Linked DNA regions of Drosophila melanogaster. The protein of the gene in region 1 interacts with the protein of each later gene in a pairwise test. Each region holds a gene or a part of one and is shown on either strand. Other genes may lie near its edges.

Region 1 (4,626 bases):
ATTTCGTTGCCCTCGGCTGTGATGTTGGCTAGTTTGGCACATCGTACGACAGCTCCGAATTTGGGGATAACATAGTACAATGTTCCGAAATTGTCGATGATCATGCTGCGACTGCTGCCCAGAAGACTGCCCAAATGTGTGAGTTTAATGCTATTGTTAATTGGTTTGCTTGCTAATTCGCTTTTGCCTTCAATTTCCAGTCTGTCCACCGTACTGTATAGATCACCATCCTGGTCGGAGAGTATGAGTTCCCCTTGAATTCCGAAGATGAAATCCACTGGCTTGATGGGAAACGATTGATTCATATTCTCGTACTTATTGCTCTCCAAGGATAGGCGGTGCCACGTCTGCTCCAGGATGTCGTAGGCTAGAATTTCTGGTACCTTTCCAAGGATGAAGTAAATATGGCGCTCGTGCTCGCATCCCGGACTCTTGGGTCCCATTTGGACAGTCAGAAAGTGGGTGTCATTAGCACCTATATGGTGTCCACAATCGATTCTCAATAGCTCCGCGTTGTTACGCATCAGATCGAAGACAAACAAACGGGGTGAGCACGTGCTGCCGGGAAATCCGATGTCCATGACCCACAGTCGACTCAGTGCATCCACCTGGGACCAGTGTGCCTGTTGTACCAGAGAGCAATCATCATGATCCCCCATGGAATGAACATCGATGTGGGGAAAGACGACAGTGGGCATGGGAAAATAGGAAACCGGCCATTGCGCCTCGATCAAAGTGGGCGCATCGTTGCTTTCTACATTTACGCTGAGAAACACTCGCGAAAAGTGCATCGATAGATGACGGACTTTGTAGCTGGATTCGTTTAAACCAGATTCGGATAACAGCCAGGCGTCCGTGGCCAGAATTAGACCAACAATGAGAAATCCCAAGCCGAGGACACCATGTGTGACCATCTTTAAACGCGAATTCAGACTGAGCTTAGGGCTAGAGAACTCTGCTTACGTTGTAAGTGCCCGTTCAAGAAGTCCACCAAAGTGTCTACATCAGCAGTTGGGATCGGGTGTCGCCGAATATATCGGCGACCTGCATTAATGGGGACCAGCATTGGAGTGTTTCTCTATTCACTTGTGGTCCCAAAAAAAAAAAGCTTACCAATTTCAATCGGAGAATATCGAAATCATGACACAGTTTCCTCTTAAAATTACCCAAAATTGGATTGTTATATTTTTCAAAATAAATCAAAGTTAAAACCAACAAAATGGTTGTTTTGTACCACCATAATAACCTATAATAAATAAATCATAATAAGGCTATTTTTGTCGAACTTTAGCGATATTGATAAGGTTCCTGTGAACTGAACCTACCTTAAGTGCTTAGTTTTAACATAACCTTAATGTTAACGAGTATTTCTTCGCGTAAAAGTACAAAAAAACCCTATCATATCTTTACAGCCATTATAAAGATTGCTTATAGATGACTGATTTCACTTGGGAATTGCCAAAAAGCTAAAGTGAACCCCCGAGGAATCAATTAATGTTGTTTAGCTTTCAGTTTTTAGTACATTCGTATTTTTTTAAGTATTAAAATTATTTAATCACACGAATAAACATTAAGAAATATTTTATTCTGGAAACTTTCTTCGTTATAGAGCATTTATCGTTGTAAAAAAAATAATTTCATTAGTTTACATTACATTTTCGTTTATATGTTTAGATTTTTTCTAATTAAATGATATTGTATAATTTATTGCAAAAATTATAATACTCACTTCAAATAATCTGAAACAAATCCACCCACTCCGAAAAATGTGGTAAGCTTTATTTTCTAACACCTCTCTTCTGATTTTATTGATTATAACTGGAATCTTTATCGGTTTCTCTCTTTTTCCATCAGTAGGTTGAGAGCTTTTCATACTTTTCACGCCGAAATGGGAAAAATGGCACTGCGCGTAGAGTCAGTTATCCATTTGAGTTGGCCAAGATCAGATCGAAATACGCTAAAATCATTTTCGGGAGCACAATCGAATACTCATACAACACACACTTCAAACGAGGATTATCATCATGTGCAACGCCATTTGTGAATGCCTTAAATGTCCTGGCAAAGTTATTTGCTGGTAAGTTTCCATCAGATTGAATATCCTTTTAAATTAAGTATTAAATAAATAATTACACAAAAATGGATAGTCGACTTTAGGCTTTTTTTAACTATTATGGTTTTACCATAGAGATAAGGTTTGATGAAAAATCCCCCAACAGCGTTATTTTCGTGGTATTTCAAGTACTATTCCTGGTATTGGCAGCTTAATTGACAACTTTCCACTATCAGCTAATAGGTTTTTTTTTTATAGAGATTGCTAAATCCTCGAGGCATTACAATACTCTTCATATTGAGCAGAATTTCTAGAAAGCTCCTACCATAGTTAATGATCAATGATAACAGGTATATTACTTCCTGCTCAGTAATGCCTTAAATATAGAAAGTTTGTTGTTGGTAAAAACCGCTTCTATTGCCACAAAGTTGATTGTTGTCTTTAAACAATCTAGAACGGATGAGACATACATATCTTTAAACGAACAAAACAATTTGTCATTGTCACAAACATTCTGCGCCCTACTCTAGTTAAAAATGATTCATCTACCTTTGCGACCCTAATCAAATTCTTTGGTTATTTTTTTTTTGTTTTGATTTGGAACAAAATAGTCAATAAAATCAAATGTAGGGAATTATGTGCTGGAATCGACGCTTAATCGTTGTCATTGTGTTTATCGTCGTGCTAACAGTAGTTTTCTTTATAATATTTCATATATATGATAAGTATTACGATCAATCCCTCTTCACTCGAGATGTTTAAGTGGCAAATAGCTTTATTCTGTATTTTTATTCTGCTGGATGCACCAGTACGAAAATGATGGATAATACGATACAGATACCTCGGTCGAATGGAAACATTGTAAGCTCCGTTTTCCAATAACTCTCACCCATTTTTCTCACTGGCGTAGTGATAATTATAGTCGACTTGTTATCAGTCTATTTGTTATTTTTTCGGCCGATATGATTAAAGCTTTCAATACCTGTAGACCCCAAAATGCGGTCGATGACAGTTACCCGCTTCAGTTAATATTTTGTGTTGGTCAACCACGCATCGGGAATCGGAAATATACTGTACAGTATATCTATCTATAATAGAATAACCCAAAAAAGTCATCACCATGTGCAACGCTCTCTGTGAATGCCTCAAATGTCCCGGCAAAGTGGTTTGCTGGTAAGTTTCCATCGGTTTCTGGCTCACTAATCATCATATACAAATATATACTATATATATATAAATTATATGTGAGAGCTCTTGACCAGCTCTGGATGAAGCCAATTTGGGAAATTTAGAAATGGGTATCTTCAGTTACAAGCATCCTAAGTATTCGGGATTCAACCTGATTGAAATGAACTAATTGAACTGATCTGACAACAAGATCTGACATCCAGGATATCTCCATCTTGATCATGTGTAAAACTTTTCTAATCAGATCTTTCCATATCCTTGCAGCTGCTGTTCCTGCGCCTGCAAGATGCTCCTGAGCATCGTGTTTTCTGCGCTCCTGATGGTCGTGGTGATCGGCTTGATTGTCTACTTCACGGTCTTCTATCACAAGGATAAGAACACGGATGAGGTGCAGAAGCAGGTCGCCCAACTGACGCCCATTGTGAAGCGCAGCATACGCGACTACTTCAACAAGGAGTACTGATCTGAGGACATGAATTTATACTATAGGCCATATTAATAATAACTCCGTCGAAATCGAAATTGAAACGAACTAAGAACCAAAGCCGTTCAGTGCATGACTTAATCTAATCGCGTCGGATGCTCGTTATGGGATTTTTTCTTATCTATAGATAGTTTGGGACTCAATTGAATGGGCAATTTGTGCGTTCTTTAGAAAGGTAGATAATGTTGGAGCGGCAAAAAATGTGACTCACTGTATACCTTACAATACATTTTGAACTCGAAACCCAGTAAAGCATTCACAATATATATTTAATGTATAATATGTATGAATGTAAGGCAGATTAAAAAAGTTATATTGTACTGGATGACACACTATAAACAAGACAATAAAACTAAAATATCTATAGAAAATTGAAAGTGGAAATAAAAGTAAGTGTATCATTAATTAATAGCATCTCTACATACTGGCTTTTAAAATTTGTAAATCTAAAATAAGCTAATATTTTAAGCTTGGGGGAAAGAAATTAGAAAACTTCGTTATTGAAGTGTGAGATATTCACTAATAAATATTTGAGCTAGGGAAGTTCAAATATTTTTTTAAGATGAGGGTTTACCAGCAGGGAAACCCCTCATTACCACAGTCCTTCCAGCTGTTTTCCTAGTTTTATGTACACCATTGTTTGGGATCAGGTAGCCTAGAACACCGTCGAGGGTTGAAAAGTGTCCAAGATCTGGTGGTCCGTTCAAATGCATTTCAAACTCGTCCCCTTGACTTGCTTCAATCAACTTTGGGCTCAGTTGTTCGCCAGCATCAGGTTCACAATGTCCTCCGATTCCACGCTGTACTTCAGTGCCGTCGAGGATATGTTCAAGGAAGTGTTAACAATAGGGGACGAGAAGAGGGATCCTGGAAACGAGGATTTCTCCGAAACACCTAAACG
Region 2 (4,994 bases), on another chromosome or scaffold:
GGTAATAGGGAGCATAAAATGGTAATTCTTTTTGCTGTGAGGGCATTTTTAACCAAGTTATACCCAAAAAACCGATCTTAATTATTTCAATTTTTGGAAAAATGGTTTCCCTGATTTTTTGTAAAAAAACTAATCGGTATTTTAATCAAAACATTGAAAATAATAATCCAAATATGGAATGTCATACCTCGTTGAGTTTGTTTTTTGAATCCCAATCGATTTGCATTCAAGTTTGGGAATTCTAGGATTTTTCAATTTTTTGCAAATTTTGATGATGTTACCCCTTACAAAAAATGCGAAAATTTGGCCAAAAATAAATTTTACTAAATCAGTTAAAAAGTGAAAGGGGTGGTTAGTATTGGTTATAAGGAGTATAAAATGGTACTAATTTTTGCTCTGTGACCATTTTTAGTCAAGTTATAGCCAAAAGAGCCAACTTGAAAATTGAGTTTTTTGCCAAAAATAGTTTCCCAGATTTTTTGTGATAAAATATTCGGTATTTTGATCAAAACATGGGAAATAATGGCCCAAATATGGAATGTCATACCTCGTTGAGTTTGTTTTTTGAATCCCAATCGATTTGCATTTAAGTTTGGGAATTCTAGGATTTTTCAATTTTTCGCAAATTTTAATGATGTTACCCCTTACAAAAAATGCGAAAATTTGGCCAAAAATAAATTTTGCAAAATCCGTTAAAAAGTGATAGGGATGGTTAGTATTGGTAATAGGGAGCATAAAATGGTAATTCTTTTTGCTGTGAGGGCATTTTTAACCAAGTTATACCCAAAAAACCGATCTTAATTATTTCAATTTTTGGAAAAATGGTTTCCCTGATTTTTTGTAAAAAAACTAATCGGTATTTTAATCAAAACATTGAAAATAATAATCCAAATATGGAATGTCATGCCTCGTTGAGTTTGTTTTTTGAATCCCAATCGATTTGCATTCAAATTTGGGAATTCTAGGATTTTTCAATTTTTTGCAAATTTTGATGATGTTACCCCTTACAAAAAATGCGAAAATTTGGCCAAAAAATTATTTTACAAAATCCGTTAAAAAGTGATAGGGATGGTTAGTATTGGTAATAGGGAGCATAAAATGGTAATTCTTTTTGCTGTGAGGGCATTTTTAACCAAGTTATACCCAAAAAACCGATCTTAATTATTTCAATTTTTGGAAAAATGGTTTCCCTGATTTTTTGTAAAAAAACTAATCGGTATTTTAATCAAAACATTGAAAATAATAATCCAAATATGGAATGTCATGCCTCGTTGAGTTTGTTTTTTGAATCCCAATCGATTTGCATTCAAATTTGGGAATTCTAGGATTTTTCAATTTTTTGCAAATTTTGATGATGTTACCCCTTACAAAAAATGCGAAAATTTGGCCAAAAATAAATTTTACAAAATCCGTTAAAAAGTGATAGGAATGGTTAGTATCGGTAATAGGGAGCATAAAATGTTAATTCGTTTTGCTCTATGACCATTTTTAGTGAAGTTATACCCAAAAAACCATTCTTAGATATTGCATTTTTGAAAAATGTAATTATTTTAAAATTTTTTGGAAATTTTTATCCAAAATTTCGAAATTAGTTTCCATAAATCATCCAAAATGTGTTTTTAGTATTGTTAATTAACTTTGTGATTTGGAACTGAATTATCGCATATTTCTTTTAGGGAAGCTGCACTGTATATTGCCAGATCCATTAAGCCTGATTATTTATTTTCTCTACTCTGTACTCATTAATTTGCTCGGAGATGCATCGTATCCAGTTCATTGAGCTGGGAATTAAATCGGTTTAATTATACATACATGCCTTGGGTAAAAGAGCATTACATTAATTTACCAAAGCATAGGGTAGCCTATTAGATACCGTGTAATACGAGAAAGGATTTACTATGTAATTGCTTAAAAGAAACTAGAGTTGCAGCTGTAGCAATGTTAATTTCCATTTTTAACAATATTATTTGATTGCAACTCAATAACAAATTAAAAGGATTTCAGATTTGAGATGCTCTTTAATTAGAGGTGTTCTTAGCTGCGATAAACTTACAAAATAAAACAGAAAATACACAATCTGTTTTATAATCCTCATAAAGCAATGCCCTTCAGAAGGCAGTAAAAAGAGCATTATATTTGGTGAAACTGTCGGTAATTTCAGTCGTAATTGGCCATTAAAATTTGGCTAGTTTAGTAGGGCCAAGTTGGTAGCACAACGCTTGTGGCTTAGAAGAACTTTTAGCCGGGCCAAGAGGCAGCAGCCAGCTGAAGTGCCACTTTTCATTAACCTACTGGGAGGTCATTCCACTGGCTCTTTGCTCTGTCTTTTGTTGCTGCAGGTGCACACAAACACACACACTCACGCAGGCTCCTCCGATAACTGATATATGTATATGTATGTATGCGCATATACCATATATATATGCTATATACACTATATTTGGTTTTGGGCCTGAAAGTGTCGCACCGAATTAGCCAGAGATGACCTCTTTTGGGCCATCAGAAATGGGACAAGCTGTGAAAAGTGAACGCCAGTCACGTTCGGCGAGTGACAACTGTAGCCCTTACCCCATTTTCCATTTCCATCGAAAAAAAAACAAAGAGCAGAAATCAAAAAACTTTTCACTGTGAAATGGAGAGTGAAAAGCGGGCGAAAGTCAAAGTAATCAGAAATGGGAAAGAGCCAGGGAGATGGAGGCTCAAGATAAAAGGCCAAAAATCTAGAGCAACGCACACAGACACACCGAAACGCAGCTCATTTGGATTTTCCTGCATTTTTCCCACTCGCACTTTTACCAAACAAAACAAAACAGAACAGAACGGAACAGAAGAAGAACTAGCAATTGCTTACCTTACTTATCCTTGCTGATCATTTGGCCACATTTAAATGGCAAATATATTAGTTTATCACTCTGATTTAACAATACAAATAATAACAAGTAGTAACGCTGCGGAAAGAGGAAGAGCAGGAAGCGGAAGTGCGGGCGGAAAATTCGCTCATTTTCGTAGACCGTTCGGTGCCAAAACTCGCGGCCAACTGGGGGAAAGCTGGTCAAAACACAGCAACAACTTTGCTCCACTTTCTCTTTGATATGCGTTTTTGCAGCTTTAAGCTTTCGTTTTGAAAACAATGCAAGCTTCGTCCTTTCTAACGAACTTTGCGTCGGCAAAAAAAGGCGAGCTTTTGGGACAAGCTTTGACACAAAGGTTAACTATTGGCGAATGCTATAAATGCACCATAATCTAAGGGCACAGCCAAAACTTCACCTAAATTCTATAAAATTAAAGGAAAACGCCATAAATGCGACTTAGGTTTATCCATAAAACGGTGATGATAAATGATAGAAGCGAGCTTTTTATGGCGAAATTTTCTGCTATTTAAATGTATTTATCTTAAAGAACTTGTACTTTCTAATAATTAACTACCAAATTTATTACAAAACGTTTTAAAAGAATTACTCTTGTTTAAAATGTGCTTAAAAGTATAAAATTAACTAAAAAATATGTTCTTTGGGCATATAATGTTTTTACATACGTAAATAAATTGTAAGAATGCGTAAATCTACTTAGAAAACAAGCGCATCTTAGAATATTAATGTTTTCGAAGTCTGTACTGAATTCATAATATTTTAATAAGAATATACGAATAAGAATAATATGTTCTAGGCGATATTTTCCAGTTCGCTCGTGTCACGACTTCCACCAAAAACACGTGCGGCGCATATCTGTCCTACGAAGGGGCTGAAATCGGCTTGGAAGGCATATAACATATATCGTAACTGTTATACTTTTCCCATTTGGCAATGCCGTTGTACAGCATGCCCATTTCCGGTAACAGCGATACTTCGGCTACTTTCCCCCAACTGTTAGCCACTTCCCCTGCCTGTTGGTCATGGAGTAACTTTTGTGGATCGCAAGCTATAGAACAGTTTGACCTTACTCAATGTTACTGCAATCCCTAATCCTGGAATTTTAACATTTGCCGAATCCGAATCGCTTTAAGCGGATTAAGAAAGCAGGAGAATGAAAAACTAAAAGAATGATAGGTGCGGGTAGGGGAATGGGGGTGCCTTCCGTCACTCCTCTCGGCTTGCAGGGTAAACGGCGGTGGGGTGCAGCGGGGGGGGGGAAGGGGGGTGAGTTCTCGAAAACCTGAATAATAGATAGATACACACACACAAGGGTCGGCCTTTCGGCCGATAATGGCTTTAATTCGTGGTCAATCTAGCGTGACTCCCCAAAGGATGCTCGGCGCGAAATGTTTTTACATCTCTCGCTCTCTCGTTGCCCCGAAGCGCCTAATAAATTTCACATTTTGCAACTTGCCGCATTTTGATTTTGCGGCCATTACGCAATTTTTGGCACTGCCGAAATGCCAAAAAGGCGAAAGGCATATATCCCAATCCCCAGCTGAGCCACGCCGCAATGAAAATGCTGAATACAAGAAAAAAAAAATGAGAAAAAAAACCACTAACGATTAAAAGCACACTCAGTTTGGATAATTTTCACAGAATTATTTCGCAATTCCTCTGACAGCAGCAATCAGCAGATTGTTCGCCAAATCAAATTGCTTTCAATCGACACTTTGGCGAACGATATTTCCACCGGACAAGGGGGCTATAGCCACGATGCTCGATATTCTCGATTGTCGGTCAAATCTTGGTGGGCAGAAAATCAAAAAAAAAAAAAATAAAAAAAAAATACAACACAATAAAATGAAATAAAATGAGAGAAATAAAATAGGAAAAGGAAAACCGCATTTCAGGCTAAAATGAAACAATAAAAACGAGTGCTGGGGTCGCAAAAATGAAAAGGTCTAAATTGCAAATGAAATGCAACCGAATCAAATAAAAAAAATAAATAAATAAAAATAAAAACCAGAAAACAGAAAAACAAAGGGGCATTCCCGAGTTGAAGAGTCAAAGGGAAAGCAAATAAATTGTACAAATTGTGGTAAATTGCGACTAACACAAACAGCAACTATGTTGTGAGTG
Region 3 (5,855 bases), on another chromosome or scaffold:
GCACATTTTTGCAACAAAAATTGTCAAAGCCTCAAGAGGAAGGCAAGCCCGGAAAACAATTTATACGAATTTAAGTAATATATTTAGATGCTAAACAAAATTAATCAATGCCTTATCGAAGCATTACAATCCCTAACTTCTGCACAATTCCCTCGAAAACCAGCAAGCCAAGAACGAACCAAATCAAGCATTTTCGATTCTATTGATAAGTGATTAAAGTCCCGCAATATAGTTGTGTTACATCATAAATAAGTCACTAGGTTTAAAGTGCCTTTCTGCTAAATCTCAAAATTCCCCATTGGAACCCATTGACCCTTTGGTTTTAAGATTTTAAGAACCACATGTTCATCCAGTCAAAGCACATTGTATCCCTAATCCTTCATATCCATACCTACTAAGTGCATTTGCAAGTCGATAAATGAAATATAAAGATGAATATGATCTATTAATAAATTTAAATCGCACGAACACGTGTAGAGTTGCGAATCAAATATAAAGCCAGTTGACTACAGACTTTCTTGTATTATACCCCTTTTGGATCAGATTATCACACGAGGGGCTCGACGATAAGATACGATGCTCTTTCCTATTAAATCGCACAGAATTACGATTGGCAACCTCCTTTAACTTTGCACCCTTCGATTGGCCAATCAGTTGTGTCATTCTGCTAATCGCCGACCACCAATAGAAGTCTTTATCAATGGGCGGGTGTACGACTCGGTATCGCGGTAGCCTTCCTCTATCGCAATATAGCTATCAGATTCCTCAAACGTCATCGCTATCGCATTCAATCTGCTGAGGGGTTTATGGCCCTTCTGAAAATTATCTGGCACTAATATCGGCCTAGAACGCATGCCGAGAACATCTCATTGTTAACAGCCAGCTGATAAAACAGGCAACATGTCATCTCAATTGCCTATTTAGCGGTACACTGCCATCGCAAGTGTATTAGGATGCACAGGGAAAAATAAGTATAAAGAACTTAAAAAGATTATCAATCGAACCTACTTGAAAATAGGGCAATTGATCATCATTAACTTAATATTAGACTGATATATCTCAATAAATATTATTTATAATATCTTCAAAGAAATTTTTTTTTATTAAAATAAGAAAAGTATAAGATGATTGAAACCAATGTGGATTCTAATATTATCTGCCTGTTTTCAAATGTTATTAAATTATTATTTTTATTTTATATTATAATTTTTTAATTGATATTAAATTGATCTTTTTCATCAGTGATCCATTTTGCGGCATTGCACTTTAAGTTAAAACTCAATTTGTAAAAATTGAGTTGGTACAATCAAGCTAATATTTATTTAATAATTATTTCACTGTGTAGTTAAACCAAATTAACACCTTACCAATCGGTATCACACAGTATTAGCTGGGTACTCAAGTACCCATTGATTGCTATGATGAAATAAAAAGCCTCATTAAATATTAAAATCGAGAAATTACAAATTTCTTACGAGCTTTAATGTTAATTTGAGGTAAGCTTTGCTCTCAACTTATATTTCTGTAAATCAAAAAGGCCAAATGGTATCAAGACACCATAAATTATTAGATAGAAAAAAGGCAGTGCGAATCCTAAACCTGATACCTTCTTATCAGATACCGTGTAGTAGCGATTGTATTAAAAAGGCCCGTTCGGAGCAAACCGAATTTAGTCTTGCCGCGAGTTTCAACGAGCTACAATGGCAGTTAGCCAACGTTTTTAGTCTGGCTAAACAGATGCATTTATCAGTCATTTGTATTCGGGCAGACAATAACGACGTTAAAAACCCGTTTCGGCCATAACAAACCTATAGTACTCATCAGATACGAAGCAAAACAAACAGTAAAAAGGTGAATTAACTGTCGTTCCAAAAATTCAAGGTGCGATCATTATATAGACTTAAAATACAAACTGAATACTCGTATAAAAAACGTGTTTTTGAATGTGAACTCTGTATGATTTTAGTCAATTTTGTAGAAAAAACAATAATCGGCAAAAAACACGTGTTCTCGAGGCTGAATATACATATAACCATGTTCTCAGAGCTGGTCTATTAAATATAAGTGCTTTATTAACTTTCACGAGTTTGGCTAAATGCCACTCTGATAGTGCTATCAACTCTGTTTCGATTACCCAGAATGGAAAATCCTAACCGAAAGACCACCTAACGAGGAACTATACTATATTGAATGGGATTTACAGCCCGAATTTATCAGGAATGAGAATTGAAGTGGATTATTTATAGCCTGTGCTGTAGTTTACAGCCCAGTCCCGTTGTTGGCCTCTTAAGTTAATGCCCGGAAATTATTTGAGTGGCCATCCACGTGCTGGAGTTTAGTCATTGACTCTGAAAAACTAAGTGCCCAATTCAAAAATCCTGGCCCATGTGCAAATTTTAAAATTGGAATCCGCGGATCCTATCGCTTGCTTTTGAGTGGCATGAATCGTTCAAATTGCCAAACTTTGATTCAGATAGCTAACACACACCTATCTTGTGCTGTGCGACACTTGGCATATATGCCCACTCGAGTCGAGGGCTAAAATAATTTGAAAGAGATAATGCCAGATTATGATTGCGGCAAATTACTTGTCGCTGGGTATTAATACCACATACTCGTAGTTTTTCTCTAAGTATATTAGTTTCGTTTAGGGTATATAAGATATATATAGAATATATATAGAAAGAATTTGACCCTATAAATAGTATATTCTTCATAAGGATCCGTCAGTTGTCCGTCCGTCCGTCCGCATGAAGTTCGATATAGAACTCTAGGCAACTTTAGGCATGCAAGTTTGTTTTAAGCCGTTGCCACGCCCACCGATATCGCTAAAGTCTGCCCACATGCTTAACGTCTAAATAATGTTGTGATAGGCTTATCAAAAATAGGACTCGTTCAAATTGGACCATTAGAAAGGTATTAAGAGTAAGCTGAAAGCTTATTAACAAAATATAGCAAGTAAATTTGCTGCCAAAGCAACAACTCGCTTTGTTGTACCGGGTATATAATAGTCGATACACTTAACTTAAACGTTCTCTCTTGTTTTTTGTTATAGATGTCAGCCGAATCATCAAAAGGAGCTATTAACAATGGCTACGAACTGGATCATGTAGGTTTTTAATTAAAAAAGCTTTGTAAACCAGATTAAATATTATAAAATGTCATAGAAGGAGTTGGACATCCGTGACTCGGAAGAATTCACGGAACATCCACTGGATGACACCAGCGAGGTGGCAAATAAAAAGGGATATTTTGAAAAGAATCCAAAAGTAGCGCGACTGGTGAGGATCTCGATTTATGTACTGCTGCATCTGTGTGTTGTGGGGTACTTCTCATATGCAACCTACCACTATCACGACATAAGTAAGTATATCGCCAAAATAATTAGCAAGAAGTATACCATTATTTATCTACAGCCAACTATGAGTGCTATTGGAAAGACAACCCATTGTGCGGCATCAACTTCTGCACGGGCTATGGAATGCTCCTGCTCCTCCTGGGATTCATCTATTTGGGTCTATTCTACTACTATGTCTTTAAGCCGATGGTGGGGCACAGCCTGCACAGGAACTATATCAAACCATTTTCAAAGAAATGGCACAACTTCAGCAGAACCAGGTAAACTATTATGAAGAAAATATATGTTTAAATCTTCTAACTACTCCTCTTCGTTTTCCCAGAGTTGTGTCATTGGCCAGCATCGCATTGCTCCTGGCCCTTTTGGCCATCTTTGTGTACTTCGAGTGCCGGGACGAGACCCAAAAACTGGTGTCCCTGGTGGCACCCTGCTTCTTCATCCTGTGCGGCTACGTTTTCTCCACGAATCGAAGAGCCATTAATTGGCGCATAGTCATCACGGGAATCACGTGCCAGTTTCTGCTCGGCATTTTCTGCATCCGCTGGGAGGTGGGACGAAAAATCTTCGAGTGCTTGGGCAACAAGGTGGCCACGTTTCTGGGCTATGCCACCGATGGAGCCGAGTTCGTGTTCGGCGACTTCCTGGTGAACAACAATGTGTTCGCCTTCGCCATCCTGCCGGTTATCTTCTTCTTCAGCTTCTTCATCTCCATCCTGTACTACATGGGTACAATGCAGTGGGTGGTGATCAAACTGGGCTGGATCCTGCAGCAGATTCTGGGCACCACTGTTTGCGAAAGCGTGACGGCCGCAGCCAACATCTTCCTTGGCATGTCCGAGAGCCCGCTGCTCATTCGGCCGTATATCAACAAGCTGACCAAGAGCGAAATCCACAGCATCATGGTGTCCGGATTTGCGACCGTGTCCGGAACCGTGTTGGCGGCCTACTTGTCATTCGGTGCATCGGCCGCGCACTTGATCACCTCCTCGGTGATGGCAGCTCCCGCTACTCTGGCCATCTCTAAGCTTTACATGCCCGAAACGGAGGAGAGCCAGACCTCATCCGATTCAATTGAACTGGAAAAATCGTACGTATTTCTAAGGCGCCTAGTTTAACCCAAATGTCTAACTAGTTCACTGTCATCCTTGTAGACAGGACTCTTCGCTGCTGGACGCAGCGTCCAGTGGTGCCAGCAACGCCGTGCCCATTGTTCTGGGCATTATCGCTAACATAGTCGCCTTCGTCGCCTTCATCGCCTTCCTAAATGGTCTGGTCAGTTGGTTTGGTTACCTGGTGGGTCTCGAGCAAATCGACTTCGAGTGGATATTCTCTAAGCTGTTCATCCCGCTGGTCTGGGCCATGGGGGTGCCAAAAGAGGATTGCGATATCATCGCCAAGGTGGTGGCCACCAAAACCATTATCAATGAGTTTGTGGCCTATGAGCGTCTGGGTCAATACATCGAAAATAATGATATCACTGTAAGTTGTAGATGGTGTGAAACCCATAGCTCATCTGGAAACTAACGTTTGAGGTCGATTTTTGTAGGCCCGCAGCGCTGGAATCGCCACATTCGCCATCTGCGGCTTTGCCAATCCCAGTTCCCTGGGCATCCTTATCGGATCCCTCAGTGCTATGGCACCACATCGTCGCTCCACCATTACAGCAGTGGCTTTCCGAGCGTTTGTGGTGGGCAGCATAGTCTGTTTCGTATCCGCCAGCTTTGCAGGTCAGTCGATAAACGATCATAAATATTTCTTATTATTTTAACTAGTTTTACTTTATTATAGGCATCCTTATACAAGAAGATGACGAGCGGGCGAACTACAACAGGATATTCGAGAAGTTGGGTCGAAAGAATGTTACTCAGTTTTAGTTCCTTAAAGTTGTAGTTCGTGATAATTAGCTGATCAAATTTAGCAAAATACAATTCTTATTTATTAAAGATGTTTAGGATTATTTTTACCTATTTGTTTACTAAGGGGCTGTGGGATATAAGTCATAAGATCCACACAACACTTCTTTACACTACACACTGTTTCTCATTTATACACACAATGGCAGAACCAATAGAAGGCGAACAGGAGGAAAAGCCTCCGCCATCGAGGGCAAAGCGAATCACCTATCTGGTACTCCATGTGCTGCTCCATATCATATTCATATCTTACTTTACGGCAGCCACAATCATTTTCATCTTTTACGGTAAGTTACCCCTTTGAGTTCGAATGTAAATGTTTATGAGGAAAAACCCAGACAAGGATTCCAAAGAATGCTGGCCCAATAGGGGCTCGGAAGCCACAACCGAATCGATAGATAACTCAACCGAAGATGATGATGATGATGATTATGACACAGAAGAAACTTCTGAGAAGCCAGTGCCAGAGGTTAAGCCAAAACTATTGTGCCAAATTAACTGGTGTCATGGATACGGGTTTCTCATCGTCTTGTTCATCTTGTTTTATATCCTATGGCTGTACTACTGGGTATTTAAGCCATTCG

The links. Proteins that work in one complex are often made in the same cells at the same time.
Region 2: the proteins of mex1 (region 1) and Syt12 interact in a two-hybrid assay, tested with the Drosophila melanogaster proteins (one large-scale study listed by BioGRID).
Region 3: the proteins of mex1 (region 1) and CNT2 interact in a two-hybrid assay, tested with the Drosophila melanogaster proteins (one large-scale study listed by BioGRID).

What each region holds. Positions count from the first base shown.
Region 1 is NT_037436.4:15,516,908-15,521,533, reverse strand, and holds mex1 (midgut expression 1), read left to right. Parts: upstream 1-1,941; 5' UTR 1,942-2,024; coding exon 2,025-2,077; intron 2,078-2,748; exon of another isoform or gene 2,749-3,173; coding exon of another isoform or gene 3,174-3,226; intron 3,227-3,505; coding exon 3,506-3,704; 3' UTR 3,705-4,110; downstream 4,111-4,626. Other genes in the region: yellow-k, read right to left, coding at 1-914; CG13454 (uncharacterized protein), read left to right, coding at 4,508-4,626. UniProt on the Drosophila melanogaster protein: Involved in morphogenesis and development.
Region 2 is NC_004354.4:13,357,295-13,362,288, reverse strand, and holds the start of Syt12 (synaptotagmin 12), read right to left. Parts: upstream 3,042-4,994; 5' UTR 2,852-3,041; intron 1-2,851.
Region 3 is NT_033778.4:9,077,061-9,082,915, forward strand, and holds CNT2 (concentrative nucleoside transporter 2), read left to right. Parts: upstream 1-1,660; 5' UTR 1,661-1,851; exon of another isoform or gene 1,852-1,881; intron 1,882-3,055; coding exon 3,056-3,109; intron 3,110-3,167; coding exon 3,168-3,363; intron 3,364-3,416; coding exon 3,417-3,618; intron 3,619-3,680; coding exon 3,681-4,445; intron 4,446-4,509; coding exon 4,510-4,837; intron 4,838-4,904; coding exon 4,905-5,085; intron 5,086-5,146; coding exon 5,147-5,232; 3' UTR 5,233-5,314; downstream 5,315-5,855. Other genes in the region: CNT1 (concentrative nucleoside transporter 1), read left to right, coding at 5,414-5,558, 5,610-5,855.